Tamandua tetradactyla: one gene and its partners. The protein of the gene in region 1 purifies or fractionates together with the protein of each later gene. This does not show direct contact. Links are inferred from orthologs where the notes say so. Each region holds a gene or a part of one and is shown in the gene's direction. Other genes may lie near its edges. The genes, in order: PPP1CA, YLPM1, DNAAF10 and PFDN2.

Region 1 (7,835 bases):
AGAGCTGAGGCAGCCAGCTGCCCTCTCCCTGAGGGAAAGCCCTGGAGCCGATTGGGCACCCAACAGCTACTCAATAAATTCACCTATGGTTCGCCACCATTTTTGAGGTGCTGCCACCCCACATTGCTTGAAGAACATGAAGAGGTCCTTGTGCAGGCGGAAGCCCCTGAGAATTCAGCCCAGCTTGGCCCGGCTCCCCTCCCCTTCTTGGCTTATCCCATCCCCCATCCCCCTCTCTCCACACCCCATCCTCCAGCATCTTTCCCCTGCAGTCCCCGCCACGCGCGCAGTCAGCCCCAGCTTGCAGGGCAGCACCTGGCACCCCCGAGCATGGGGCATATGGCTGGGGGGAAGTGCCACTGCGGTGCCCGTGGGCCGGCCTCGCCCCAGGCCCTGGGCCTCTGCACCTGCTGTGCCCCCCAGCTCCTGCCCATCTGCCTCTGTGGAAGCCCCCCTTGGTGCTGGTCCTCCAGGATTCGTCTTACCACTCCCTGTGTTTTCCCATCCCCTACCAGGGGGTTCCTAGGGACAGGCCCTGGGCCCCTGCGCCTGCTCCCCCCAGGGCCAGGCACCCTGTCCAGCACAGAGGGGAGGCAGCAAACAAATGCGCCAACTGCATGTGCTGTGGCCGCCGCCATCACCCTCACCTCATCACAGCCGGGCCCCAGGAGGGCCTCTCAGGTGCTGGGGTCTGCCCGGGCAGAGCAGAGCGCATTCAGGGCCGGCCAGCTGAGCTCCCCGGGGCAGGGTCCCCGCTCCCCCCCTCCCCCACCCAAGGCTCCAGCCCTGGCGCCCACTCACCTTCACTGAGGAAGGCGTCCCAGACACGCAGCACGGTGGGGAAGGGCAGGGAGCGGGCGAAGAGGCACAGGAACCACTCGGGCAGGTAGAGCAGGGGCCCGACGCCCACCTGCTGCAGGTGCCTATGCACGCGCGGAAGCAGCCGCCGCAGCAGCGCCGCAAACACCTCGGCATCCAGCCGCACGGCCTCCTGCGCCCACAGCCATCAGCCTCTCCCCACCCGGCGCCCCACCCGCTCCCCACCCCTCTCCCAAACCCCAGGCTTCAGCCCTCCTCAGGCGGCTCCCCCCGCCAGCGCCCACCCCATCCCCGCTCACAGGGGCCCCCATCCCAGCCTCTCACCATGTGGGGTCCATAGTAGCCAGGGAGGTAGACCTCACAGATCTGTACCAGGCACCAAAAGGCCTCCTGGGGGGTGGGGGGTGGGCAAGGCACAGGCCCGTGAGTGCCCCCCACAGAGGGGCAGGCAGGGCAGGACCCAGGAGCCTGGGAAGCAGCTGGGGTGACTCTGGGGTCCCTCTCAGAGCCTCTGCCCTGGGCCCAGTCGGGGGCCTGGTGGTGGGTTTACGGAGCCGAGAGTTATATGGCTCGGGATGGTGAATTGGGGAGGGGGGGGTCACAGGATTGAAGCTCACTGGTCAATGGTTGGGAGCATCCCAAAGTTCAAGGCCTGGGGTTCCTGGAGTCATTCGGGTCAGAGGTCATGGTGGCAGGGTTCAGAATCGGGAGTTGTGAGCTTAAGGGGATAAAGTCAAGGGCCCCCCACGTTTCTGGGATCAAGGTCATTGGGGTTGAATGCCACTGAAGGTGGCAATCATGAGACCCCGGGTCACTGAGACAGGGACTGGGGGTCAGAGTCCCTAGGGTTGGGGGCTATGGGTGCAGAGCTCAGAATCATGGTGGGGGACACCTGGGCCACTGGGGCTCCGGGGTCAGGGTCTCGGGTCCCTGGAACAAGGTCAAGGGTCACTCACCTCTGGGGGCAGGTGCATGAGTAGCACGGCGGCCACGGGTCCCTGGGCCTGGCAGTAGCCCTGTTCTGGCCGATACAGGGTGTAGGCCTTGAGAACCTGCTGGAGCCCCTGCTGCCTGTGCCAGAAGACCCCGTTAGGGGCCAGTCCCCCAGGGTGTCCCTTGCCCACCCTCTAGTGACCTCTGTGCTAGGCCTCAGCCTTCCTGGCTCCCCTGAGATAAAAGGATGTGAAGCTGGGCGAGGGGGAGGAGGGCTGGGCCAGAGGACCTGGGGCTGGGGGCCTGGGGGTCCCTGGCCATCACCAGCCTCGTACCCATGACCTTGAGGTGACACAAACATCTCGTGCAGAGGGAACTGGCGGTGCAGGTCCCTGCCAATGGTCTCCATCCACTGTGGGTCTCCGGGGGCCGAGGCCAGCTCCTGTCAGGGGGAGGCGGGGGTCACGGCTAGAAATGGCAAAGGGCTCTGGGAAGGGGAGGCAGGAACCCTGCCCACTCGCTCACCTGATAGGTACCGGGGCTGTTCTGTTTACACACGTGGGCCCCACACAGCAGGGGCCAGCAGCGCGCCCGCAGGGCTGAGGGGATACCTTTCCGGCACTGCATCTTTACCTGCAGGTGAGGCCGGGGCAACCTTAGCCAACCTCACCAGCCTTACCTGCTGCCCTTGGCCGGCCCCCAGCAGGCCGTGCCCCCAGGCAGGGAGCAAAAGCAGCATCTGCGGGGGCTGGAGGGATGGGTGGCCCTTGTCAGGGGCTGGCTCCAGGCCGAGGGGAATGGGCCACCCTCCCCCTCACCTTCTTGTACCGGCGAGACATGGTTTTCTCCCAGTGTGACGTCATCTCCACCCACTTCATCTCCCGCTGGCGGATAAGGTCTGCAGGGGCCTGACCTGGGCTGGGGACACATGCATAGGTAGCCAGGTGTCGGGCAGCTGTTTCCTAGGACCCACTCCTGCGAACCGCCCCCCATGCTCCCACCTGAGCCCAGCTCCTGCTCCTGCCGATGACCTGTAACCAAGAGCTGGCAATGTTGTCATGGGGATGGGAAAGGATGTGGCCTCTGATATGGGCGGAAGCAAGAGAGACTGAGGGGTGTGCATGGGGGGAGGGGTTGGCTGGCTATTCCCCCTCAACCACCCTGCCCAGGACAGGGACACAGATAACTCATAGGGAAAGCTGGCTGGTCCAGCATCCTGGACTGGCAGCCAGGGATTCAGAGTTTGACTCTGGTTCCGTCTCTGATCTGCTTGGACAAGTTCCTACCTGTCTCTGGCTCTGTTTTCCTGTCTGCACTTTTGGGGAGGGGCTAGGTGTTGTGGGTTCTATGGTTTGGATCTGGGATTCCTGGGCTAGAGACTAAAAAGGGAAGGCTGTTCAGCCGCAGGAGAGGGTGCAAACCCTTGGAGGTTTGGGAGTACAAGAGACATTTGGAACAAATCCCTCCTCCCCCAACACACACCCCCCCCCCAGCCTTTTCCACCTTAAAGTTTCACCTGAAGGAGAGAAGAGAGGTGATCTGGCTCAGTGTCTAGCTCAGTCCCTACTGCCACACCCTCCCAGACCTTTGAACACCTCACTTTGGAATCCAGACCCCATCCTCAGTCCCGGCTTCCCCACCCCACTCCATCCCACTTACCCAAGGTCCGCTGAGCTGCCCCCAATGAAGCCATAGCGGTCAGCCTGGCGATACGGGCCGGGTCCACTTAGCTCAGAGTCGGACCCCAAAGAGCTGGAGTCATCCTGCAGCTCGGAAGGCTGCACCAGGTCCTGCCCCAGGGCCTGGGCCATGGTGCCCCCGACTGTGATGCCACAGGTTCAGGCTGTAAGACATGGGGGAGAGCCAGTCTAAGGGGTGGCCGCTGGCCAGCCTGGGGCCTGGGCTCCCATCAGTTCCTAGCCCCAGAGCCAAAATGTGGGGTTGGAGCCGGCAGGTTTCAGAGCATCCCGCCAAGCCCCGGACATCCCCTCTTCTTTTGAGGGAGGGAAGGCCCTGACGTGGCAGAAAAGCCTGACCTCTGTATGGAGCCCCAGGCCCAGCCCCTCTCCCCGGCAGCCCGGGCTCCCCACCCGGCCATACCTGACCCTCCTCCTCTCACTTCCTCCTCAGCCACAGCTACAGCAAACCGGCTCCGGGCCCCTCCCAAGGTGTGGGGGGGAGGTGTCACCCCTTCCTCTCTGAGGCTCTTCCTGTCAGCCCCTGGGCCGGCCGTGGGCTCCTCCCTCCCTCCCCGTGGGCTGGGTGGGTTCCTGGGTGGGGTGTGATTGGCCAGGGTCTGCCAGAGGCAGAGGCCAGGCTGCCTCCACTTTTGAGGTTCCTGGTATGTAAGACACCCAAGTCAGGGCTCCAATAAGAATTCTGGTTTACTTAATGTTTGATATTCAGGGGGGAAGCCTTTTAACAGGCACACATACAGCATATTGTGCTTCTCACGTGGTAACTGTGGGACCCATAAAGATTTTTGCATGCACAGAGGCCGGGAGGACCTGACTATGGCTTGGAGTTCAGGAACAGGTGTCCTTGGACCCCACAAAGACTCAGAAGGATGAGGGCCTCCGCGAACGTGAGTCCCCCGTGTTGGGCCAGCCCCTTGCTAACTCTGAGCCTCAGTTTCCTTTTCCGGAAACTTTGAGGATTTAACCCGCAGTGTTTTAGGAGGCGGTCTGGGCTGGGGTTCCTCGCGGTTATTCACGCGCTCATACCACCCTCCGCCTAGAGCAGGGTTGATGAAGGCTGACGAGTCTCTGCAAGAGAAAAACAACTTCCACAGCGTTTCCGGTCCCTTAACCTCGGAGCGCGTCTGGGCGACTCTTTGTGGGCGGGGCCTGGCCCCGCCCACACGAACCCCGCCCCGAGCACCTCAGCAAGATCCCGCCCTAGTCGCGCCAAGCCCCGCCTCGCCCCCAGAGGCCCCGCCCCCGGGCTACCGCGGCCTGTGCGCCTCCTGCCCAGCAGAGGCGCTAGAGCGTGGGGTCGGGGCACAGGGCGGAGGCGGGCCTGGGGGGCGGGCCCGGGCGACGGGGGGCGGGGGCGGGGGCGGGTCCGGGCGGGCGGAAGGAGAGCCAGGCCGGAAGGAGGCGGCGGGAGGGCGGGAGGCAGCTGCGGGCTCGGAGCTGTAGGGCCGGAGCGGCGGCGCCGCCATGTCCGACAGCGAGAAGCTCAACTTGGACTCTATCATCGGGCGCCTGCTGGAAGGTTGGCTGAGGCCGGGGAGGGCCGCGCCCGCCGCGCCCTGGCCCGCTGCCCAGCCCGGAAGTGGCGCGCGGGCGGGCCTGCCCCTCCCGGGGCCAGTGGAGACTGGGCGGGGACGGGCCGCGAGGTCCAGCCGCCTCCCCCACCCCTGTCGCGGGCTCCCTGAGGGGTCTGGGGTCCGATCGGGCACGCGAAGCAGCCCTCTCTCCCGGGAGCGCACACGGTGGCCTGGGGCTCCTAGAGTGAGGGAGAGCCCTGAGAATCCCAGCCCGGGAAAGGGGTTCTGCGATATTAGGTTTTGAGTGGGGGGACCCCAGCGCACCCTTTTCTCGAGGGCCTTGTTTTGGGGGGCATGAGACAGGTCCTGGTCGAGGAGGGGTGTCGGGAGAGACCCAGACGAATACAGAGGTTCCCCTGGGGCGGTCGCCTGTATATCGCCACCCTCTGGCTCCCCAGGACCTCAGAGGCCGGGGTCCTGACGCCCCATTCCGCATTCCCAGTGCAAGGCTCGCGGCCTGGAAAGAATGTGCAGCTGACAGAGAATGAGATCCGTGGTCTGTGCCTCAAATCCCGGGAGATTTTCCTGAGCCAGCCCATTCTTCTGGAGTTAGAGGCACCCCTCAAGATCTGCGGTGAGTTCCCTGCCCCAGCCCCCTTGGGCTTCCTGAAAATGGCATTACCCACCCCACACCCCTCCACCACCCCCACTCCAAGTTCATGGATTCCTCCTCCCTTGAGGAAGCCAGTCCAGGCACTGCACCTGGTGCTGACCGGATTCCCTGGGTCCCAGGTGACATCCATGGTCAGTACTACGACCTTCTGCGGCTGTTTGAGTACGGCGGCTTCCCACCGGAGAGCAACTACCTCTTCCTGGGGGACTACGTGGACCGGGGCAAGCAGTCATTGGAGACTATCTGCCTGCTGCTGGCCTATAAGATCAAGTACCCTGAGAACTTCTTCCTGCTTCGTGGGAACCACGAGTGTGCCAGCATCAACCGCATCTACGGCTTCTACGATGAGTGTGAGTGGTCCCGGGGTGTGGTGGCTGCTCGACTCCTGAAGGGCTCATCCCTGTTCTGTGGGACCCTCCTGTTGGCCTGGCATTAGCCATATCAGTGTCTGGCAGGTACCTGCTAGACTGAGCTTGCAGGGCCGGGTTCAGTTCATTTCTGGCTGCCCCGCCCTCCTGGCATGGGGCCTGGCACTTGGAAGGGTTTGGTGAATGGATGCTGACTGGAGGGCTGCCCATATTCTTAATGCTTTTCCTCAAGGCCCTGCCTGGTGACTCCCCCACCCCCAGGACATCCGCTGCTTAAGCACTTAGGGTGTCGAGCTGGGCTGGGATCTGCTGGCCAGAAGAGAAATGGAGATAGGCCAGACCCCACCTTGGCCTGCTCATGGGTTGGGGCAGGTGTGTGTGTGGGGGGGTGCGTGTGTGTGCCAACTCTACGGATCCTGTTGGGTTCCTGTGGACTGAGATGCTTTGAATTCCATCTTGGAAGGTGGTCCACAGTGCGGGTGGGGTGGGAGGGCGAGCCCTCCCCGCCTTCCACTCTCTTCCCTCAGCTGTGTCTGACCAGCCTGCAAAGCGCCTCAGAGAACCAGGCTGCGGGTGGGGCGGGCAGCCTCCTCACAGGCCGGCATCTCCCTCCTCTGGGCAGGCAAGAGACGCTACAACATTAAACTATGGAAAACCTTCACCGACTGCTTCAACTGCCTGCCTATCGCGGCCATAGTGGACGAGAAGATCTTCTGCTGCCATGGAGGTGAGAGGGCCTCCTTGGAAGCTAAAAGCCCCAGCCACATCCCCGGGGCCCTGGAATAAAGTTCCGTTAGCTGTCTTGGGGGTTAGATGCCTTCTCTTGAGGAAGCTGTACTGCCACACCCCCGCCATTAGGCAGTTTCTTGTGGTGCTCAGCATTCTGCTCTCAAGGAGTTCATCTTTCTTCCAAGCGCTGTGTTCCTTGAGGGCAGGGGCTTCTCTGGCTGGTTTGCCTCTGTGCTCAGGGCCTCAGACATGCAGAGGGAAGGAGGGCCAGCTCTGGCTGCCTGAGCCCCCACGGGTCCAGGAGAGGGGCCAGATGGTGGTGGTAGGAAGAGTGAGGCTGGTTGGCAAAGGCTCCCTCGGAGAGGGGGTCTGGTTTTGAGGCTTGTTTGAGGAGTTGACTGTCCTCCCTGTACCCCGCAGGCCTGTCCCCGGACCTGCAGTCCATGGAACAGATTCGGCGGATCATGCGGCCCACAGATGTGCCTGACCAGGGTCTGCTGTGCGATCTGCTGTGGTCGGACCCTGACAAGGATGTGCAGGGCTGGGGCGAGAACGACCGTGGGGTCTCCTTTACTTTTGGGGCTGAGGTGGTGGCTAAGTTCCTGCATAAGCATGACTTGGACCTCATCTGCCGGGCGCACCAGGTGGGCTGGCCTCTCTGGGTGGGGCAGGGAGTGGGGGCTGGGTAGGGCCGCACAGGCTGGGCTGACCACGCCCATCCTTGCCAGGTGGTAGAAGATGGCTACGAGTTCTTTGCCAAGCGGCAGCTGGTGACACTTTTCTCAGCTCCCAACTACTGTGGCGAGTTTGACAACGCAGGTGCCATGATGAGCGTGGATGAGACCCTCATGTGCTCCTTCCAGGTGGGTGCAGGGGAAGAAGGGACCAAGGGTCCTGGGCCTCAGCCCAGTGAGCCTTACCAGCTATGTCTGTTTTCTAGATCCTCAAGCCCGCTGACAAGAACAAGGGGAAATACGGGCAGTTCAGTGGCCTGAACCCAGGGGGCCGGCCCATCACTCCACCACGTAATTCCGCCAAAGCCAAGAAGTAGCCGCCCCGGGCCTGCCCCTCTGCCCCAGATGATGGATTGATTGTATAGAAA
Region 2 (7,288 bases), on another chromosome or scaffold:
GCAGGTTAAACATGTTACAAAATATTTCCTTCTACTCTGTGACTTCCCTTTTTCACTTCCTTAATGAAAGGTATATAAAAATTGTATATAGGTACATATATTGATTTGTATATTGATTTTATATCCAGCAATCTTATTCTTAAAATGTATCTGTAATTATTCTGAATTTTCTATGTACATAGTATCATACATGAATAATAATAGTTTTGTTTCTTCTTTTCCAATATTTATATCTTTTTTTTTCCTTGCCTTATTGCGCAAACAGGGCCTGTGGTACAATGCTGAATAGATGTGAAGACAGTGGGAATTTGGCTCTTGATGTCAGTGAAGCTTTCAACTTTCACCATTAAGTGTGGTGTTTACAATAGATGCTTAATAGATACTCTTCATTAGATTAAGGAAGTTCCTTTTCATTTCTAGTGTGCTAAGATTTTTAAAAAATATTGATATTGATGTGTATCGAATTATTTTCCTCCATCTAGTAAAATGATCACATTATCTTCCCCTTTAATCTATTACTATAGTGAATTACATTTATTTTTATATTTTTCAAAAGAGAATTCCAATGAAAAATATTAACAACACAATTAACTGAGGTTTCTGGGTTGAGTAACTTTCTGTTCCTTGACCTGGGTGCTGGGTACACAGCATGATTGGTATGCGGAAATTCACTAAACTTTACACTTAATATCATTTTTAGTATATATGTTATACTTCAATAAAAAGTTAAAAAAGGAACAGAACTAAATGCCTATTTGAGAATGAAACTCATGCTTCTGAAGTATACCTGTATGCACCACTCTGCACTCATATCCACTTCCTAAGAGGTGAGGATCTGGGTTACTAAAATGGAAGGAAGGTCAAGGTCTTTTTATGGAGTGCACAACAGACACACTTTATAGTCTCAGAGTTAGAATCCAGTGTGGATTAACTTTGTTTCTTAGTGATTCACTCAAACCACAGAAGGAGCTTATGTTTAGTACTATACTGAGAAATTTTTGCAAGAATTATCTTCTAGGTCATCTATTCTAGACAATCTTTGTATCTGGTTTTTGCTATCTTTACTTTCGCTTTGAGGTTCTCCAACATGGGTTTTTAAAAAAAATGTTTTGAGATATTCTAAAGAATTCCATTTCCCCTCTTATTCCTGTAGCTGTCACTTTTTATATGCCTGCAGGAATTGGTGCGGAGTATTACATCGTCTTCAAAATAGGTCTCCATTCTTTCACAGATTTGTTTTCAGTTTGATTTTCTGGGTTAGAATTGTGTTGTCTATTCATTTTTTATTGTGAAATATAACATATATATTATATATATATATAATGATTCAGCAGTCATACTCATTTGTTAAATACTATCTTCTCTGTTATAACTCGACCTTCTTTAATTTTTCTCCCAGTCTTTAGGGGTATTTAAGCTATGCCCATTCTAGCTTTTTCATGTTGGAAAAAGCTGTTGATAATATGGGATGGAGGATGGAACTATTTGATATTTTGGAGAGGCTAGCCCTTCTGGGTTTCAGGATTTATCAGGTCTAGGAACCCATCTGGAGGTTCGAAAGTAATCATAGTGCATGGAACCTTTGTAGAGTCTCAGATAAAGCCCTACATGTTCTTTAGGGTTGACAGCAATGGTTTTGGTTGGAATTTGCAAAACCATAATACCTAGTAATATCTAGAGTAGCCTCCAGAGTAGCCTCTTGACTGTTTGAACTCTCAGTCACCCATACCTTATTTGTTACAATTCTTTCCCCCCTTTTGGTCAGAAAGGCATTGTCGATCCCATGGTACCACGGCCGGGCTCATCCCTAGGAATCATATCCCACGTTGCCACAGAGATTTTCACCCCTCTATGTCATGACCTATGTAGTGGGGAGGGTAATGATCTAACTTGCAGAGTTGGGCTTAGAGAGAAAGAGAGGCCACATCTGAGCAACAAAACAGGTTCTTTGGAAGTAACTCTTGGGCATAACTATAGATAGGCTTAGCTTCTCCTATAAATACATAAGTAAGCTTCACAAGAGCAAGCCTCAAGATCAAGGACTTGGCATATCGTCTTGGGAGTCCCCAATGTTCGAGACAGTATCAAGGATTTCCCCGGTGATAAAGTTTAATAGTTCCATATTTTTTCTTCCATGCTTCAAGGGACTTTGCCAATACTTTTTTACTTATCTGCTCAACATACTCTGGGATGTGTCCGGGCAATACATTAAGCTATTTAGAATTACATGCTCTCATTCCCATTCTGGGCTCCATGTGTTTGGGTTGTTAAAATGCTCTATCCAGACGAGTTAGAGTATGTGCTACAGAAAATTTAGATTTTGGACAAAATAAACCTCTCTTCCTTTGGTCTCAGAGTAGGTGAAGTTTTAAAATACAGACAATGTCATCCTTATCCCTTATTCTGATTTAACTTAGTCCCAATGTGATCAGCTTCGTTCTTATCTCTAACTGAAGCCTGATCTTTTTCAGTTTCTTTAACAGTTGTATGTGGCAATGCTGACTTTCAGACCTGCAGACCTCCTACTCTGGGTCTTACATGTCACACAGGTACTCAAAGTTGGTTATACATATATAGCACAGTCTTTCAAAATCTAGAAATAACAATTGCAGCTCTGGATTAAATGTGACTGCTATCAGAGTTTACAATCTAGTCTCAATTTTCTTATAAGTATTTTCTAAATGAGATCATACAATAGTTGCAGTTTTGTTTCTGGCTTATTTTGCATTACATAATGCCCCACAGGTTCAATCACATCATTGCATACTTCACGACTTCATTCCTTTCTGTAGCAGCTCAATATTTGAACATATGTATACACCACAGTTTACCATTCTACCACTCAGTGTATCCTTTAGCCACCTTAATCCACTGGGCATCATGTATAAGATCCAAAGTCATCAACCCATGTCTCACATTATCCTCATTTAGTGGTATAATCAACACTCTCAATTTTAGACAATTTTCATTGCTCCCCAGAGAATAATAATCAATAAACACACCATCACCAAACAGAAAATCCAAACCCCATAACTCTTGTCCTCCCCATCCCCCGCCCCCAATTATTTACCCCTGGTATTGCTGTGGTACTGTTGCTGTCTTCTTGTTAAACATAGCCGTAGAATGCAATAGTTTTCCCTCTTTACCCCATATTATAAACACTGTATAAGATTCATACCTTGTTCATATGAAACTTAACCCCACAAAGGATAGGCTAAGCCTACTTAAAATTAGGCCTATGAGTCACCCCCAAGAGAACCTCTTCAGTTGCTCAGATATGGCTTCTCTCTCTCTCTCTCAGTCAACACAACAAGCAAATTCATTGCCCTCCCTCTCTCTACGTGGAACATGACTCCCAGGGGTGTGGACCTCCTGGCACCGTGGGACAGAAATCCTAGAATGAGCTGGGACTCAGCATCAAGGGATTGAGAAAACCTTCTCCACCAAAAGGGGGAAGAGTGAAATGAGACAAAATAAAGTGTCAATAGCTGAGAGATTCCAAACAGAGTCGAGAGGTTATCCTGGAGGTTATTCTTACACATTAAATAGGTATCACCTTTTTAGTTAAGGTGTAATGGAGAGGCTGGAGGGAACTGCCTGAAAATGTAGAGCTGTGTTCCAGTAGCCATGTTTCTTGAACATGATTGTATAGTGATATAGCTTTCGCAATGTGACTGTGTGATTGTGGGGAAAAAAAGAGATTCATACCTTTTAAGTAATTCATGCAAGAACTTATTTCTGTAGTGTTAATCCGTGGGATACCTGGCTCTAATACAGTCCCTTTCAATAATGATGTTCACCTTTAACATGGCAATATCACTTTGTCTATTAATTTTTAATTTGAGAAGAATTGACATCTTTACTATTTTCCCTCTTTTCATTCACAACCATGGTAAGCCTGTCCATTATTTCAAGCCTAATTTTATCCCTCTTTGATATGAATGTTCGGTAGTTTTCTTCATATAGAAATAATTCGAATTAATTAGAATTATTTCTAGTTGTTTTTATGGTTTTTCTGTTGTTGTTGCGATTGTTGCTATTGTGAATGGAGCCTCTTTTTTTTTTTCATTCAAAAATGAATCCGTGGAGCGATAGGATCTCTACCAACGCGTTTCAGCTGTGAGACTCTATGGTTCCTCTGTTCTATGAGAACATTCTACTCGAGCCTGCATTACCAGAACCCTAAGGAAGGTGGCAACCGAAAGTCGTCAAGCAAAAGGCCGCTCTAGCTCGCCTTTGTTCTCCTCTTGGCGGCTACTGCGCAGGCGTAGCAGCCTCAGGCCCGTCCCCGCCTTCCCGGTCGCGGGCCCTGCTCCGTAGCGCCGGCGCACTGGCGCGCTCCGTTTACACGCTCTAGGGCCTATACGTGCCGCGAGTTCCGGCTGTCGCCGCCGCCGCAGCTCCTGGAGGTCGGTTGCGACGAGTAACGGCGCCAGGACGAGCCCTGCGCCTTCTTCTCCGATATGTACCCGAATTGGGGCCGGTATGGCGGGAGCAGCCACTATCCGCCGCCGCCGGTCCCGCCTCCGCCTCCGGTGGCGCTTCCTGAGGCCTCGCCGGGCCCCGGGTTTTCGAGCTCGACGACTCCCGCGGCCCCCACGTCCTCCGGCTTCATGAGCTTCCGCGAGCAGCACCTGGCGCAGCTCCAGCAGTTGCAGCAGATGCATCAGAAGCAAATGCAGTGCGTGCTCCAGCCCCACCACCTTCCCCCGCCCCCCCTGCCGCCCCCACCGGTGATGCCGGGGGGCGGCTACGGGGACTGGCAGCCACCGCCGATGCCCCCGCCGCCCGCGCCGGCCCTCAGCTATCAGAAGCAGCAGCAGTACAAACACCAGATGCTCCACCACCAACGAGACGGGCCTCCTGGTTTGGTTCCCATGGAGCTGGATTCTCCTCCTGAATCTCCGCCTGTGCCGCCGGGGTCCTACATGCCCCCATCTCAATCTTACATGCCCCCACCTCAGCCGCCACCCTCGTACTATCCCCCGTCCTCGTCCCAGCCCTATCTGCCTGCCGCTCAGCCGTCCCCTTCTCAGTCCCCACCGTCCCAGTCATACTTGGCGCCCACCCCATCTTACTCTTCCTCCTCCTCCTCGCAATCCTATTTGAGCCATTCCCAGTCCTACTTGCCCCCGTCTCAGGCATCGCCTTCCCGCCCCACGCAGGGTCATTCTAAATCCCAACTGCTAGCTCCACCACCACCGTCTGCCCCTTCTGGGAATAAGACCACTGCCCAGCAAGAGTCTTTGGAGAGTGGGGCCAAGAACAAGAGTTCTGAACAGCAGCAAGCTACCCCGGAGCCAGATCCCTCTACGATGACTCCACAGGTAAGAAAGCTTCTGTTTGAACCGCTTCTTTCTCCTAGAGGGCCGTAAGTGATCAGGCCTCAGGACTTTAACCAGTGCTTAGCCTAATTCCAATACACAATGACAAGCTAATTTACACTCTAAAAGATCCTCCTAGAGCCTTCCACCCCGCTTTTAAATTAGGTAAATGTGGATTACAGAAAGAACCTTGTTTAAAGATGTTACTAGACACCACAGAATAGTGGAATGGCTCAAGTTCTCAGATATATTTTGAGTCTCCTTCCTAAATTTGTTGCAGAGGGCCTTGTTTTAAAATTGTATTTTAAGCTAAAAGTTCCTTTTGAGAGGCCACATAAAGAAGCTTCTCAAAGGGCTGACACTTGAAATGCATGTAAACCTTATGACCCAGTTAACTTTAAAAAAAATTTTTCTTTTTAGGATACACTGATAGCTCTCAGCTTCCAAAAAAGGAGGCCTCAGCAAATGAAAGATGAATGTCTTATTAGAGGCATCCTAATTATGCTTATAGATACATGTGAAAGTTTTATAGTTTATTCCCCAAATGTGCTTGCCCTATCAATACATAGATGTCTCTCTAGACACTTGATCCTTTTTGGGGGGGCTCTTGGTCCATTTAAGGAACTGACCCATACATCCTTTCCTCACATCACTTGAAGATAGTTTTAAGACATGACCACTTTGCTGCATTTCATGGTTGCTCCCATTAACTCCAAAGTAGCAGCCTTGGAATTAGACCAAGATAAAAAAAAAAAAAAAAAAGTTGATGTCTCTTCATTAGAATCTTAGTAGTAAGAGATCCATTTCTCTCTCTGTTTGAAGTGATGCTTCCCACAGAATGATCAAAATTGACAGGGTAGAGATAATAAATGAATTCCTCCATTGAGAAGGTAGAACTAAAGGGGAAAAACGATGTGTTATTATTTCTTTAAAAAGACACTTTTAGCAATTACTAACCTAAATACACTATTTTTTATTAGTGAATAGTCTTTTCAATAAGCCCAGATTCGCATATAAAATATTTACAAAAGATAAGGATGTAGTATTCTAATTTTACAGTGCTTTGGTATTAGAAATTAAGAACAGAGGCAAGTTGTTTTAAGGAATGATGCTTGGCACACCATCAGGAGAAAACACTTGTGGTGCCGGAATAAAGCAGTAAGTATCTGATTCTGTTGGTTTATGCCGAATTAGTACCATGCCTCCAGGTTGTTTCCTCCAGATTTCTCTGTTATATAGACAAAATTTCTGGCTCCTTCCCCCCACCCCCCCGCGGAATTTCCAGTGTTTTTGTTGTCAGATACCTTAGTCCAATCCAAAATATGAGATTTTATATCCTCTTCTCTACTGGACTGTTTCTAACCCTTTAGAGTGACAAATTAATTAGATTTCTGGGATTGTTTGTTTTGACTTTTTATGGAGGAGAGGGGACAACAGTATCAGTATGATCCTTAATCTGACTACAAATGCTGCTTTTGCTTTTCTGCCTTTGAATCCTTGTCCATAGTAAATTTCTTTTTACTTGAGTACCCAGTGCCTCCAATTCTTTGGTGAGAGCTGGAAAGACATTGGTGGAAGATGAGGCTTGAGAGGTCTGCATGCGCTAGGTCAAGAAGGGCCTTGTAAGCTTGTTTAGGCTCTCCTTCCTCCATCTAGGATTCATCCCAGCTTTATCTACCCTCCCTCTCCCTCCTTGTAGTAGATCTCCTCAAGGCACACCTCAAATATCAAGGTCTCCGTGAAGCCACAAGTGTACTTACTGATTTGGTTTTGTTCTGTTGTTCGGATTCTAAGTCCCTTACACACAGGGACTGTCTGGCTCATCTTTTTATCCCCTGTAGCACCTAGGACAGTGCCACAGAGATTTATTGACATAGGTACAAGTGTTGTCATGTTCTAAACTTAGAATATTTTTATATGTTGTGATAAATATTTTTTATGCCAATGCCAATCTCTTAAAAGTT
Region 3 (7,356 bases), on another chromosome or scaffold:
ATTAATCCGGCACTGGTATAGAGTATGGATTTGAGGAAAAAGAGACCAAGCAACAAAGCAAAGGAAATAAGGACACAAGAAGTGTTGGCAAGAAACAATAAAAACCTGAGAGCAGCTATGGGAACAAATAGTCATTATGTCAAGTTTCACAACATTTTAAACTTTACCAACTATTTAGAGTGGTGTCTCTCTGTTTTGTTCCCTCATCATAGTCTATCAAGAGAGATGAGTCTTCTGCTGATTTGAAAGGAAGTATGCCCCCTAGAAAAGCCATGTTCTAATCAAAATATCATTTCGTAAAGGTAGAATAATCTCTATTCAACATGGTATGTTTGAAACTGTAATCAGATCATCTCACTGGATGATGTGATTTAGTCAAGAATGGTTGTTAAACTAGATTAGGGGATGACATGTCTCCACCCATTTGGGTGGGTCTTGATTGGTTTACTGGAGTCCTATAAAAGAGGAAATATTTTGGAGAATGAGAGATTCAGAAAGAGCAGAGAATGCTGCAGCACCATGAAGCAGAGAGTCCACCAGCCAACGACCTTTGGAGATGAAGAAGGAAAATGCCTCCCGGGTAGCTTCATGAAACAGGAAGCCAGGAGAGAAAGCTAGCAGATGATGCCATGTTCACCATGTGCCCTTCCAGCTGAGAGAGAAGCCCTGAACTTCATTGGCCTTCTTGAACCAAGGTATCTTTCCCTGGATGCCTTTGACTGGACATTCTATAGACTTGTTTTAATTGGACATTTTCTCGGCCTTAGAACTGTAAACTAGCAACTTATTAAATTTCCCTTTTTAAAAGCCATCCTGTCTCTGGCATATGGCATTCCGGCAGCTAGCAAACTAGAACAAGTCTATACTAATCATAATGAAGGCATAAGAATCCTCAAAAAAGAAGATATAATTAATTTTGGTCATCAATTCTGATACAAAATAGGTACCCAGAAAAAGAGGCCCAGAGTCAATTAATTTTAAATGCCTAACTCTTGGACTGACACCATAGAATGAACATATGTTTATTTATATTTATTCTCAAGAGAATACATTTTATTTCCAAGAAAACAGCATTTATATAGTGCCTAAACTGATGCATCCAGTACCTAAATGACTGCTTATACCAATGTATGTTATTCACATATTTTTGCTCAGGACTACCCTCTCCTCACAGCCCTTTCTCAACTCAATTCAATACTATAAAACATATGCACAATCAGGGAGAACAAATGAATATCATTGCCAAGGGTTGAAAATGGATGATATATAAGAAAAGGTACAATCAATTCAAGCTACGATCTATAGTTAACGGTAACACTGTAATAAGCTTTCACTGAATGTAAGAAAGGCATTACGCCAAAACTAAATGTCAACAGTGAGGGGCATAGGGGTGGAGTACGGATTCTGTGGCAACAAAAAGGAAATGTCTTCATATAGATTATGGTGGCAAAGGCATGTCTATCTACTTAGACTGGATTGTATGATGTGCAAATAAAATTGTTTAAAAATGAACAGAGAAAAACAAGTGCTAGAGAAAATGTGGACAAAGAAATGTACCTCTTCACCGCTGGTAGGGAAGCTGAGAAGTGCAGCTTTTTTGGAGGGCAGTGTGATGGTTTCATAGGAGGCTAGGGGTGGGGTTGCTATATGATCTTAGAGAAACTGAGTGTGGGGACATGGATGGACATTTGCACACTGGTGTTTATGGAGGCAGTGTTCGGCATTTGTGATGCATGGAGATGGCCTAAGGATACAACAAATGAGGAATGGAAGGATGGACTGTGGTGTTTATATACAACAGACAACTGAGGACTACTGAGCGCTGCAAGAAGAAATGAAGTTGTGAGGCATGCAACTAGGTGAATGAATCTTAAGGACAGTATGTCAAATAAAATGTCAGAAACAAAAAGGCAAATATTATCATGCCTCACTCTTACGGATGAACAAATACAGAGAACTGAAGTTGAGAGCACAGATTATCAGGTTGGGGCCTATTGCAAAGGTTCCTAGATTGTAAACTCTTAAAGCAGTCACATGTATTTCGGAGCTGTAACTGATATTTTTAAATTTTCAGATACTGAGCTATTTGTATATAACCTGGTCATACCCTGAAACTCTGGGTATTTATGTGATACCTGAGAGAGAGAGCACTGAAGTTATGAAAGTCATTACCCCATTCGGCAACTGTGAAAAAAGAGATCAGACTTTGTCTAGAGATACGAATGAAGCTGATCTGGATAGGACTAAGGTAAACAGAATACTGGGTAAAGGATGATATGGCCCATATTTTCAAATTTCAACCTCTGTGTGAGACCAAAGGGAGAGATTTTTATTTGGTACAAAATTTGTGTTTTGGGTAGCATATCAACTAATTAAAATTTTATGGTCAGTTTACTTGAACACCATAATTACATGGAATCTTGAATAGGGTGTTGGAAGATCTTGCTGGTTTGCACAGGTTAGTGTGATACCTGGATATATCCCAGAGTAAATTGGGCAGAGAATAAAAAAGTATTTGCAGAACAGGCCACTGTGGCTCAGCAGGCACAGTCCTCACCTATAGACAAGCTGGAGACCTGGGTTCAATTCCTGGTGCCTGCCCATGCAAAAAAAAAAAAAAGTATTGGGGAGAAAGCAGGAAATACTTAACATCCCCCTCTGGGGAATTTCTGCAGTGGAGACAAATAATTCAATAAGCTGAGCTCTCAATCTTAGGGCTTGCCCCTATGAAGCTTATTTCTGCAAAGGAGAAGCTAAGCCTACTGAGAATTATACCTAAGTCAATTCGGCAGGTGAACTCAATGTCCTCCCCGCTATGTGGGACATAATTCCCAGGGATGTAAATCTCCCTGGCAACACGGGACCTGACTTCCAGGGATGAGCAAGGATCCAGCATCAATAGAATGAGAAAGGCTTCTTGACCAAAAGGGGGAAGAGTGAAACGAGACAAAATAAAATCTCAGAGGCTAAGAGATTTCAAGCAGAGTTGAGAGGTTATCCTGGAGGTTATTCTTATGCATTATACAGATACCCCTTCTAGTTCATGGTGTATTCAAGTGGTTAGAGAGAAGTATCTGAAATTGTTGAACAGTGTTTCAGTAGCCTTGATTCTTGGAGAAGACTGTATAACTACATAACTTTTACCATGTGACTGTGTAATTGTAAAAGCCTTGCGTGTGACGCTCCTTTTATCCAGGGTATGGACAGATGAGTAAAAAAATAAGGATAAAAATAAACAACTACGGGTAGTTAAAGGGTAAAAACTGGGTACACTGAAATACTGTGGGTCAAAGAGAGGGAGAGGTAAGGGGTACAGGATGTAGGAGCTATCTTATGTTTTTATTTCTTTTTTTGGAGTGATGCAAATGTTCTAAAAATGACCATGGTAATGAATACACAACTATATATCATATATTGCATAATACGGTTGGCCTATATGTGTATGGATATTTCTCAATAAAAATATTAAAACTAGAGGAAAACCACTTAAAGTAAGTTCTATTAAGAAAAGTCTATTCATCCTTGATTCCTGTAGGAGAAACCCTAGTCTATTTGTAAATAATTGACATTCTCCTTACCCTGATTTCTACATTCCTCGATTTCAAATTAAAGCGTATCTGAAGTCCCAAATGCTCTACAACAGGCGTAAATATCTTCATCCAGTTTTCTTTTAACGGCGTATATCTGTTAGCTGGTACTGGAATTTTCCTAGTTTCTTCTTTTCCACCCTACAATGAAAGAACACACAACTCAGGAGTCGTCTGGAGGGTGAGAATGGAGTTGTAAAATGACAGATGATTCACAAAAATCTTTTAACCGAACGAGTTAAACTTCGGCAGTCATTTCTCTACGAGGAGCTCTCACACCAGAAGAGCCCCCGCAGCTTCAACATCACCCACAGGCCACCGGCTTCACCGGCCACTGGCCGCAGCCTCGCTCCAGTCCCACAGCCCCCTCCAGTACCAGGAGCCCGTCCCCAGAGAGGGGCGGGAAGACGGGCCTCTTCGCGGGCCGGGACTCCTCTGTGTCCATGCGTCCCGGGTCCCCGCCGTCCTCCGCCACAGAAAGCTGCTCAGCCTGTCGTTTCTTCACCCGCCGGCCACTCTTGCGGGTGACCTGGGTGAAGCCATTCTCCACCCCAGCGCTCTGTGCCTCCATCTTGGTTTCCACCCTCAGATATGTGCAGGGCAGGCAGGCTGTTCCAGTTGAAACACGTGCGCCGCCCCACTGCGCAGGCGTACCTCCGAGGATCCAGCCACTGCCGACCAGGCCTAAGGCTCCACCCCCTGCCTTAAGAAGGCCCACGTAGAGGACCTGAAGCGGTATTTTTTTTTGAAGGACCTATCCTAAAATATGCCTAATTCTTAATGCCCACACTACTGCTGCATAACCTACAGCCAAAATACCTTGTAGTATCTAATATGTATATGTGCGAACGTCAGTAAGTAACGACGATAAACAAGTTAATGCCGTTGGTGAAAGAGAATCTTGTGTGATCTCGGTAGCACATCTGGCATTTTGTTGGATAACTAAATCCAACTTCCTAGGACGTTAGGGAGCGAGGTACGGCAAGCGGGGGGGGACAAACTAGTTAAGTTTGGCGTCTGCCAGCCAGGTTAGTTTTTTCTTAAGAGTCGGGGGTGGCCGTTGCTGTAAGTGAAATCTGCTCGGCCATGTCGGCCTTTGAGAAGCCTCAGATCATCTCTCACATCCAGAAAAGCCTCAACTACACGGTGTTTGACTGTAAATGGGTGCCCTGCAGCGCCAAATTTGTGACGCTGGGCAACTTCCCACGGGGTACCGGCGTCATTCAGCTGTACGAGATCCAGCACGGAGACCTGAAGCTGCTTCGGGAGGTGGGTGCCGGGTGGAGACTGCCCAGGTCTGCCCTTGGGGGGCGAGTGCCGATCCTGAGGTCTGCATCCCTCTTTGCTTAAAGCCTTCGTCCAGCGTCCCCCCAAAATACAGCTCGAGCTGCGCGGGACTTGCGAAGCTAACCGCAGACTGAGGAATGCTTCAGTGTTAAAATTCTTTCGTTCGAGTCCTGAATTCTCATCCGCGGGCCATTTCATCCGCGCCCTGCAGGCCCCTTCTTCCAGCACCCTCGGCGCAGTCCAGCGCGAGGCCTCTGGGAAGCGAAGTTAGGAATTCTTGTATAAGTTCGAGGCCTTAAGGGGCATTTGGCAGTTGTTCTGGAGAGTCCGTTGCGAAGCCCTTGTTAGTATATTGCTTTTTCATACAAGCATAGCCACAGCGGCCCCTTCCCCCAGGAAGCCTACAGTAGTTGAAGCATTCAACCTAACACATCTATTCATTCTTTCAACAAGTATTAATTGATTATCTGGTATCCGCCGGCAAGTGATTAGCAAGGTCCTCGATCTCATGGAGTTTCTTTTCTAGTGAGGGTGATAATCGGTTAAATAATCAAAGATGCATAAAATGCAACGGTTTTATGAAAGTAAAAACAGATTTGGGACAAGTAGAAGTTGTTAATAGGCCAAACTGGGAGTGGAAAAGGAGGTTTTCAGAAGAAACAGAAGCCCAGTGGTGGGAGAGAGTTTTAAGAAGCAAAAGAAGGTCGCAGGGACCAGACCTTGCAATATTTATAGGCCATTTAAAGGATTTATGCCTTTACTCTTAAGAGAAATGGGACATCAAGCAGAATGTGGCAAAATCAGATTCATATGTTTTGTAATGAATACTAGTGAAAGAATTAGAGAATAATGGTGGATAACAAATTTTTATCACTCTTTGCAAATTAAAAAATGACGATTTGGATTGCCTGAAAAAAGTGATCAGGTATAATCAGGTGGTTAGGGTTCTATACAAAGGCAGTAAAGATTGAGAACTCCATGGATACTTGGAAGAGATGGGGGTTCAACCTATATTAAAGTATGAACACAATTTAGATAGGCAAGGTTAGATTAGAAGATATATAAGGCTCCATCCACGTTAAATTTCTGTAATTGCCTGTGTTATTGTTCAGTTTGTCTTCTCAAGCCAGGCAGTCTATTTAGAATGCCTAGGCATGGCCTGTACTTTTCCACCTTTGCTTATGTTGTTTACCATTTGGTCTTCAGTCACCTGTTGCTATTGTAACATTCAATTCCGATTACATGACTTAAAAGGAAACTTTTCCTGAGCGTCACACGAATGAACTTTCCTTTTTGTTGTTTTCCTAAAGTACGTTTTATGTGTGCCAGGAATATATGTTCTGTCCTTTTTATCTCTAGATTGTAAGCTCCTAAGGAGTAAGGTCAGTGTCTTCTTAAGTGTGGTTTGTAAGAGGTAGCCACTCAATAAATATTTGTTAAAAGAATGAGTGAATGTATGTCTGTAAATAGGATATAACTTGGGAAATTTCCAATATTGGTTTATTAAATATTGTTCGGGGTTGAACAAATGGGAAGCATTGGAATAGCAGAGAAAAACATAAAGCTGAAGTTTTAGGAACAGATGCCAGTTGAAGCTGAACCACAGAGAATCTGCAGACTTCTGCTTTTCAATAAGAAAATTTGTACACATTTCAGAAATACACTTACTCATAGATTGAAATACCGCTCTTTCTTTTTTGTAGAGATTGTAGAGAATTCTAGCAAATTTGTTTTGTTTGTTTTTTAGCAAGCTTGCTTTATAACAAGAGTAAAATATGTTCGTGATAGGATATTTAGAAAATATAGATAGGATTAAGCAGAAATTTAATGTTACCCACAATCTCAACCACAAAAATAGCCACTTTTAAATTTCACCTGTATCCTTAGAGGTCTTTTTTTCTACCATAAACTATCCATAGAGAATCTGCTAATCCAAGACACAGTTAGTTCTAAGGAACGACCAAAGGTATTTGAAAGATGACCCCCTTCCTCTAAGGAGCCTAGAGGCTCAAAAGATGGTAAAACATAACAAAAACACAGCTAAGAACTTACGTTGAATTTGGCATGTTAGTCCAATGGAAAAGAATATGGGTGAAATACAGTCTCGGTGATTCTCGACCCTCACTGCACATCAGGCCCACCTGAACGTGTTTTGTTGCTGTGGTTTTTGTATTTTAAAGTTTTCATGCCTTGGTCCCCGCCCCTCCTAGAAATTCTGCCTCAGTGAATCTAGACTAGATGGAGGCCTGGACGTCAGTCTTTTTTAAGCTCCTCCCAAGGGATTTTAATGAGTACCAGAGGTGAAAACCATTGGGATCAATGAATATTTTATAAATATAGTATGAAACATACTTGATTTGATTATTGAGGAACTTCCTCCAATCATTTGCTCAAAGGCCCATGAATAAGAGATAAAAACGTGAAGAAAGCCATCAGTCTTTTATTGACATCTTCCTTTTCTTGTTGGTAAGAGGGTAAATAG
Region 4 (6,980 bases), on another chromosome or scaffold:
GTGCTTGGGCTTCCCCTTTGTTTCCCTTTTCCAAATACCCCTAATTTGTGTCTCTACAGCTACCTTACCACTGAGCCGTAAGACAAATGTGTAGGGAAAAGAAAAGTCTATAGAACAGAGTCTTCATAAGAGATTGACGTGAACACTGCTTTTGGGTGCAATGAGGGGTTATCAATACTTCTGGCTTTATGAGGGCTCTTAAATTTTGTCTGCAAAACCAAAGGGCTGTGAGTAAGGGAGCTATGTGGAAGGTGGGTCTCAAGTGTATTTGGAAATTAATCACCATCCTCTCCCAAATTACAGAATTTTTATAAAACAAAGAAGCTGTGGCCCTTTCCAGTCTCTCCTGGCATCTGGTGCTGCTCCTCTCTGCCTCCTTTCCTCCATTCATGGCTTGAAAACTTTGCCTGGTGTGGCTCATTTTTTCCCCGTTTAGAAAATCCTCTTTAAGAGAGTAATAGGTAAGAGAGAACTGGGTCAGCCTAGTCACTCTTCCAACTGTAGTGTGTGTGTGTGTTCACACATACATACACAGGATAGGTGGAGAAGACGTTGCTGAGTCGAAAAGGTACACTCCCCCTAAAAAGGGGAAGGGGGAGTGTGACATTTTCCTCCCATGTTCAAGTAAAAATAAATAATGTACCCTGCAGCCCTTTTCCCCTTTGCTTTCTTCTGGCTTGGGCAAAGGGCATCACCAAGTGAAGTAATTCAGTATCAACTCTTTTCTTTTTTCTTCCCCATTCTCTAACCCCTTGGGAGAATGGGGCTGGGACATGCACTGAGTGTTGCACTTTTATTTACATAGGGAGGCATGCTGAATGAGCCAGGAAACCTAGAACTGGAGCCTAGACCAGCAGATGCAATACCACCTCCCTTTGCAATTTCCAAAGGAGATATCCAAACACAGACTTTATGATTATTATATTTTTCTCAATGCCAGTGCTGCTCAGCCCTCAGAGTTACTCCAGTTTTCATGAAATAAACAGTGGCTATATAAAATTCCACCTTTCTGAAACTGAAATCTGAGCTCAGGTGAAAGTTTCTTCTTTCCCAAGAAGCTGAGCCTGTGTCCCATCAAGAGTCAAGGTTCTCCGAGTGAGGGGAGCTGCACCTGGGTCCTGCTCAAAAGTCATGGCACTACCAGCTCATAATGGGAGTCTCAACTCACAAAAGTCAAAAGGCTTAAGATGATGGGTGACCCAGATTGCCATAGAGGTCAGGCCTGCGGTGCTGGAAGACAGGCAGGTGTTGGCGTAACTGTCGCAGATAGTTGAGGTCAATTCGGGCAAGACAGAGACCTGGCCCCTCAGAGCAGCGTGCCACCACTGTTCCCCAGGGATCCACCACCATGCTGTGGCCATAACTTGATCTTGTCTCATGGTGGCGCCCACATTGTGCTGCTGCCACTACATAGCACTGGGTTTCAATGGCACGGGCTCGCAGCAGCACCTGGAGGATGAGGAGATGTGTGTTTACTTAACTACATGCAGTTGCTAATGAAGAAGTGACAGGAGATGGATGTTACAGACCAAGTGTATGATGTACCCACTGTTACCATTCTGATTATTGCCAAGGAATGGTTTACTATGTTTACTATTTTGTAACACATGAGAGCCAGGCAACAATCTAGGAAATGACTTCCTACCAAGTAGGAAGGGGAAGAGAAGGTTAAGGAAAGGCCCTTAAGTTTCAAAGAGGTGTCCTCTTACCTCCCAGTGGGCTGGGCCTGTAACAGATCCAAAAGCTGAAGGGTAGGTAAGTATTTCTGCTCCAGCCTGAGCCAATGCCAGGGAGAGTTCAGGGAACCGCAGGTCATAGCAGATAGCTAGACCAATCTGTAATAGAAAGTAACCTGCTTAAGCCCCCTTGCCTTGCCCCTTTCCTTAGAGCTTTATATCCTCTACTACCACCCACTTCAAAATATTTCTATTCCCCTCCCTCTTGTGCCTCTCCCACCCTCATCCTTTCACAACTCCCACCTTGCCTGCTGGTGTACTGATAGGTGACTCAAGGCTGGGTCCAGGTGTGGTAGAGTTACTCTCATGCATGGGCCCCTGCCCTGGAATCTCTACATCACACAGATGTGTCTTTCTGTAAGTGGCTACCACTGACCCTAGAGTAAGAGGGAGAAGGATACTCAGTGCTGATGTGCTAGGAGCCCAGTTTAGCTCCTCCCCTCCCAAGAGGAGATGACTTATAGACTAGAAACAGAAGTACAAACACCTCTAAAACCCTAGGCCAAGGAAGCACTGTTGAGACACACAATTCTAGGGACTTGAGTTTAGGAAGACGAGCCTGGGAAAGGTAGGCTAAACAGTTGTAAAGTCTCACCCTTGTTGTTCAGAAGCACATGACAATTGTAGATTTTCTGAGTCTGCTCCCAGTCTTGGCCACGCTCATGAAAACCACCCAAGGACAGCCAGAGTCCACATTCCCTGGAGAGAGGGGGACATTGAAAACTCTCTCAAGGCTCTATCCTCTTAACCTAAACCAGGAACACTGCCCAATGATTTTACCTCTCCCTCCCCCTTTCCCTGATACCTGGCAAGCTGGGTATATTCTCCCACAAGGTTCCCACCCAGTGGCTCAGACAGGCGTAGTGTCTCTGCAGGGTCCCGTGCAATGAAGTCAAATGCCTCAGGCAGGAAAGCCAGGCAAGCACCCAGTCTGGCAGCCTCTCGAACCAGCTCAGCACACATTTTAAAGTTCTGTTGCTTGTCTGGTGTTGATGTTACCTGACACACAGCCACCAGAGGCAGTTCCCAGGAGGAAGAGGAGATGGCCATGGCTCTGGGCCTGTGAATGACACAGGCAGGATTATCAAATTTCTCAGTATGAGGAAACCCTAGTTTAAGGATAAGGGACTCAAATGGGGAGTCAGGAAAGCTAATTTCCTTTTTTTTTAATGTATGGGCAGGCACCAGGAATCGAACCCGAGTCTCCAGCATGGCAAGCAAGAACTGTGCCTGCTGAGCCACCGTGGCCCACCCTAATTTCCTTTTGAATCTGCTCTTAGAGGATACACTGACTTAGGCCTAGTGGGGCTTGCCAAGCAAATGTTCTGTGGATGGCTGGCACACCACTGTCTCCCACCAACCATTCATATAACAAGCATTTTTCAATATGTTAGACAATCAGAACACAACAAAACTTGTTACCTGGGCTGGGTACAAAGTACTGAGAGTCGAGGTATCCGGAGTCCAGGACACAGAAGAAGGGACAGGAGCTGGTTAGGCCTGATGATGAAGCCCAACCTGAGAAAGGTGAGAAATCAGGACACCAACCCCACCCTCAAGCAATAACTTCCTAGAGTTTTCTAACTTCTCTTCATACTGCGAGGTGGATCAGGGTCCTGCCAGTAAAAATAAGTCTCCAAAACACACTTTAAGTAATTATGGGCTACAGGAAGAGATCATAAGGTGGGAAGATAGAGGACGGAAAGCTGTTCAGTGCCTGAATATCTCGACTTCCAGTCTTCCAGTGATCTAACATTAAATTGAACCCTTTTCCCGTGCTAAACGTCTCCACAGTTCAAAAGTCACCTCCGGGAAACTTTCTTGGTTTTCCCAGGCCTCTCTTCTTGATTCTGCATCTGCACAGCTTTATTGGCTTAAAGTATATTTGCCCCCCTTACACCGGGACAATCTAGGGGAAAATTCACCCTCCCCTGTCCTCGGCCACCCCACGGGGGCAGAGGGCACAAGAACCCGTATCCCAATCCGCGCTCCCAGCCTCCAGACAGCCACTCCTTTCCCGCCTCTGCCAGGGGACAGCGTCTCTGTTACACAAGTTAAAGCACCGCAGGTGGAATTCACCGCGGCCGGCAGGATGGGGAGTAGGTCCTACATGAAGATACGGCCAAAACCATTCGCAAGAGCCGAACCGAAGAGCCGCCAAGAGCTAGAGAAGCCAGGGACGAGTGGGCGGTAACATCGAGACCGGATGTGGCGTCAGACGGAGGCTGAACTGCGCAGGCCGGAAACCGGCAGGCGGCGAAGATGGCGGACAACAGCGGTCGTTCCGGCAAGAGCTGCGGGACCGGCGCCGGGAAGGGGGCGGTGTCCGCTGAGCAGGTGAGAATCCGGGAATGCCAAGAAGAGTATCTCCCGCAGAGCCCGGAGTCAGTGCGCGAAAGGGAGGGGTCTGTTGCTTGTACAGGCCTTTGCTCCAATCCTCATGGCCACTCAAAGAGGGGAGGGTCCTTGGAGAAGCTAGGTGAGCTCCGGAGGAGAGAGTGGGCGGGTGGCTTGGTGAAAGCTCGACATTGTCTGGGATGGTAGGTAAAACCGGAGTAAGGGAAAGCCCTGGTTTGTAGGGCCTGGGAGGATGTACAGATCTGAGGGAAGATAGGTCGTCAAGGAATTGCCCCACCTCTCCTTTGCACCCCCAAACAGGGTATGGTCGGGCAAGGCAGTCATAACGAATCGCAGGAGCTTAGTTAACGGGCTGCTTTCGTAGTCTGTTTTGTGACCCTGGAACCACGTTGACAGTCGCCGTCACTCTGCAGAGCCACGTGACACATATTCGAACAGTTTAGTGTTCAATACTATTTTGATTCTGGAGTCTTTACTAGATTGAATTTCCTGATAGACCAGAAACCCTTTCTGATAGGAATTTGCATTTCTCCCAGTACCTAACATTGGGAAATGTTTGATAAATTAGCCAGAGAGCCTTCTGTAACTAGGAACTGTAGTTTGATAATAGTGGAACTAGTGTTTAATCAGTATGAGAAGAAACATTCACAGTAGAAATGAAAACAAACAACAACGTGCACACTATAGAATGAATTAATCAAAGGCATAAGGTTGCAATTTAAACTTGGCTATTTTAAGTACAAGTTCATTCATTAGTTATTTGTTGACGGTGTACAACAGGCAAAGATGTCTGTATAAAGATTTTTATAACTGCTCCTGCCATCCAAGAACTCATAGCCTGGCAAGGAAAATAAAACATGCAAAAGTTATATGAGACAGAAGACCAATGTCTGAAGAGAGGTGTAAAGTGCTGTGGGATTTGGGGGAGGGGAAAAGAGAAAGGGAAGAAGGAATGAAATACTTTTTTTTTAATGAGAGAAATTATGGGTTTACAGAAAAGTTGGCATGAAATAAAGAATTCCCATACACCACCCCACCGTGGACACCTTGCACTGGTGTGGAACATATATTACAATGGATAATAGCAGGTTTTAATAATTATACTATTAAAGTCCATAGTTTAACTCAGGGTTCACTGTGTAGTGTAATTCCATGGATTTTTGTTTTAAATTTTTACTGGTAACATATGTGCAATCTAACGTTTCCCCTTTTAATCACATTAGGATATGTATTTCATTGCTGTTAATTGCATTCACAATGTTCTGCTACCATCACCACCATCCATTACCAAAACATTTCCATCATTTCAAGTAGGAACCCTGTACATTTTAAGCCTTAACTTCCTATTCCCTATCCCCACCCATCCCTGGTAACCTATATTCTAGATTCTGACTCTATGACTTTGCTTATTCTAATTGTTTCAAAACAGTGAGATCATACAATATTTGTCTTTTTGTATCTGGCTTATTTCACTCAACATGATGTCTTCAAGGTTCATCCATGTTGTCACATGTATCAGGACTTCATTCCTTTTTACTGCTGGATAATGTTCCATTATATATAATATACCGCATTTTATTTATTCATTCATCAATTGATGGACACTTGGATTGCTTCCATATTTTGGCAATTGTGAATAATGCCACCTTGAATATCGGTGTGCAAAAAACCTAATATATTTTGAGGGACTCTGATGTGCCAGGAATTTTGCTGGGTGCAGGGAAACATAAACAAAATAGTCCTTGTTTTCTCAAATGAGAAAAGACAAACTGAACAGTACAAATTTACAGTGTGCCACACAGTCCGTCTTTTGGGACATCTAGGGGAGGAACCCATGACTAAGCAGGAGGTTGTGGAATTTGGGAGGTAGGTGGGAAAGGGAACTTTGGTATGGTGGGTATAGCTAAGAGCATAAAAACAAGTGCACTGGGTCAGACAGACCTGAGTTTGAATCCCATTTCTACTCTTTACTATAGATATGACCACCAATGAGTTACTTCTTAGTCTTCCCCATCTGTAAAAACATAATAATAGTACCTACCTTATCCCTGTATTTTGCAAACTATGTAAGACGATGCACATAAAGTATCCTTGAACAGTGATTAGAACATAATATGTGCTCAATAAATGCTACTTGATTATCTTTGTTTTTTAGCTGTCTCTCAAGATGTCTTTGTTGGATAGTAATGTAATAGGGAATGTAAAAGGACAGACAAGTTTGGGGGAAAAGATGAGTTTATTTCTCAGTGGAGACTGAGGAGTTGTGATGTTGAGTTCTGAAGCTGCTCCTTGTTAACATTCTCTGTCTTTGTTCCAGTGAGAATACTGGGTAAAAAATAGATTTATTTCTACAGCAAGTTTGAGCCACATGTCCCTTACAAACAAAATGAAAGCAAGTAATACATTGTGCTAGGCACTTCACTTGTTTTATCTTCTGTTATTTAATGTTGCCATTTGAAGTAGGTTATATTATCCTCCTGACATTTGCATTTCAGAGGATTTAGGAGAGTTGGGGTAAAAAGTCAATTGACATGAATTACCACTGGTCACTTTTGCTAAATCACAAGGTATAAATTAGAAACACATGTGCTCCTTAATACTAAAGAAGTAAGTTGGGCGGAGGTCTTAGAAGACTTGGAATGCATGGCAAAAAACTTGGGAATATATGGTAAGCAGTGAAGGACCCAGAGAAGGATATATGTTATACTGTTGATCTTTTTGCCCTATTACATAATATAAAACATGTCCATAGTAGAAAATATAAGAATAAATATAAAGAAAGGAAAAGGAAATAAGTTGCTCATAATCCTACTGTCTGAATATAACTATTCTTACCATTTGGGGGTATGTCTTTTGAGAGTTTTCCCCTCTTATGTTTTTGTATAT

What was found.
Region 2: the proteins of PPP1CA (region 1) and YLPM1 purify together in Homo sapiens (affinity purification with mass spectrometry; 3 studies listed by BioGRID and IntAct, counting the BioPlex papers as one, with this or other methods). This does not show direct contact. The link is inferred for Tamandua tetradactyla from reciprocal best matches to the Homo sapiens genes PPP1CA and YLPM1.
Region 3: the proteins of PPP1CA (region 1) and DNAAF10 purify together in Homo sapiens (affinity purification with mass spectrometry; 6 studies listed by BioGRID and IntAct, counting the BioPlex papers as one, with this or other methods). This does not show direct contact. The link is inferred for Tamandua tetradactyla from reciprocal best matches to the Homo sapiens genes PPP1CA and DNAAF10.
Region 4: the proteins of PPP1CA (region 1) and PFDN2 purify together in Homo sapiens (affinity purification with mass spectrometry; 3 studies listed by BioGRID and IntAct, with this or other methods). This does not show direct contact. The link is inferred for Tamandua tetradactyla from reciprocal best matches to the Homo sapiens genes PPP1CA and PFDN2.

What each region holds. Positions count from the first base shown.
Region 1 is NC_135335.1:6,994,214-7,002,048, forward strand, and holds the start of PPP1CA (serine/threonine-protein phosphatase PP1-alpha catalytic subunit), read left to right. Parts: upstream 1-4,835; 5' UTR 4,836-4,913; coding exon 4,914-4,968; intron 4,969-5,465; coding exon 5,466-5,597; intron 5,598-5,755; coding exon 5,756-5,986; intron 5,987-6,527; exon of another isoform or gene 6,528-6,626; coding exon 6,627-6,731; exon of another isoform or gene 6,732-7,153; coding exon 7,154-7,377; exon of another isoform or gene 7,378-7,461; coding exon 7,462-7,596; exon of another isoform or gene 7,597-7,673; coding exon 7,674-7,784; 3' UTR 7,785-7,835. Other genes in the region: TBC1D10C (carabin), read right to left, coding at 802-991, 1,144-1,209, 1,776-1,890, 2,088-2,194, 2,278-2,385, 2,571-2,670, 3,412-3,563. UniProt on the Homo sapiens protein: Protein phosphatase that associates with over 200 regulatory proteins to form highly specific holoenzymes which dephosphorylate hundreds of biological targets.
Region 2 is NC_135338.1:33,830,442-33,837,729, forward strand, and holds the start of YLPM1 (YLP motif-containing protein 1), read left to right. Parts: upstream 1-4,271; 5' UTR 4,272-4,463; coding exon 4,464-5,327; intron 5,328-7,288. UniProt on the Homo sapiens protein: Plays a role in the reduction of telomerase activity during differentiation of embryonic stem cells by binding to the core promoter of TERT and controlling its down-regulation.
Region 3 is NC_135343.1:41,450,557-41,457,912, reverse strand, and holds the start of DNAAF10 (dynein axonemal assembly factor 10), read left to right. Parts: upstream 1-4,338; 5' UTR 4,339-4,673; coding exon 4,674-4,856; intron 4,857-7,356. Other genes in the region: RNA-binding protein PNO1, read right to left, coding at 3,579-3,728, 3,964-4,158. UniProt on the Homo sapiens protein: Key assembly factor specifically required for the stability of axonemal dynein heavy chains in cytoplasm.
Region 4 is NC_135330.1:14,265,201-14,272,180, reverse strand, and holds the start of PFDN2 (prefoldin subunit 2), read left to right. Parts: upstream 1-3,965; 5' UTR 3,966-3,998; coding exon 3,999-4,073; intron 4,074-6,980. Other genes in the region: NIT1 (deaminated glutathione amidase), read right to left, coding at 1,183-1,449, 1,710-1,835, 1,980-2,113, 2,332-2,435, 2,542-2,796, 3,159-3,254, 3,816-3,868. UniProt on the Homo sapiens protein: Binds specifically to cytosolic chaperonin (c-CPN) and transfers target proteins to it. Binds to nascent polypeptide chain and promotes folding in an environment in which there are many competing pathways for nonnative proteins.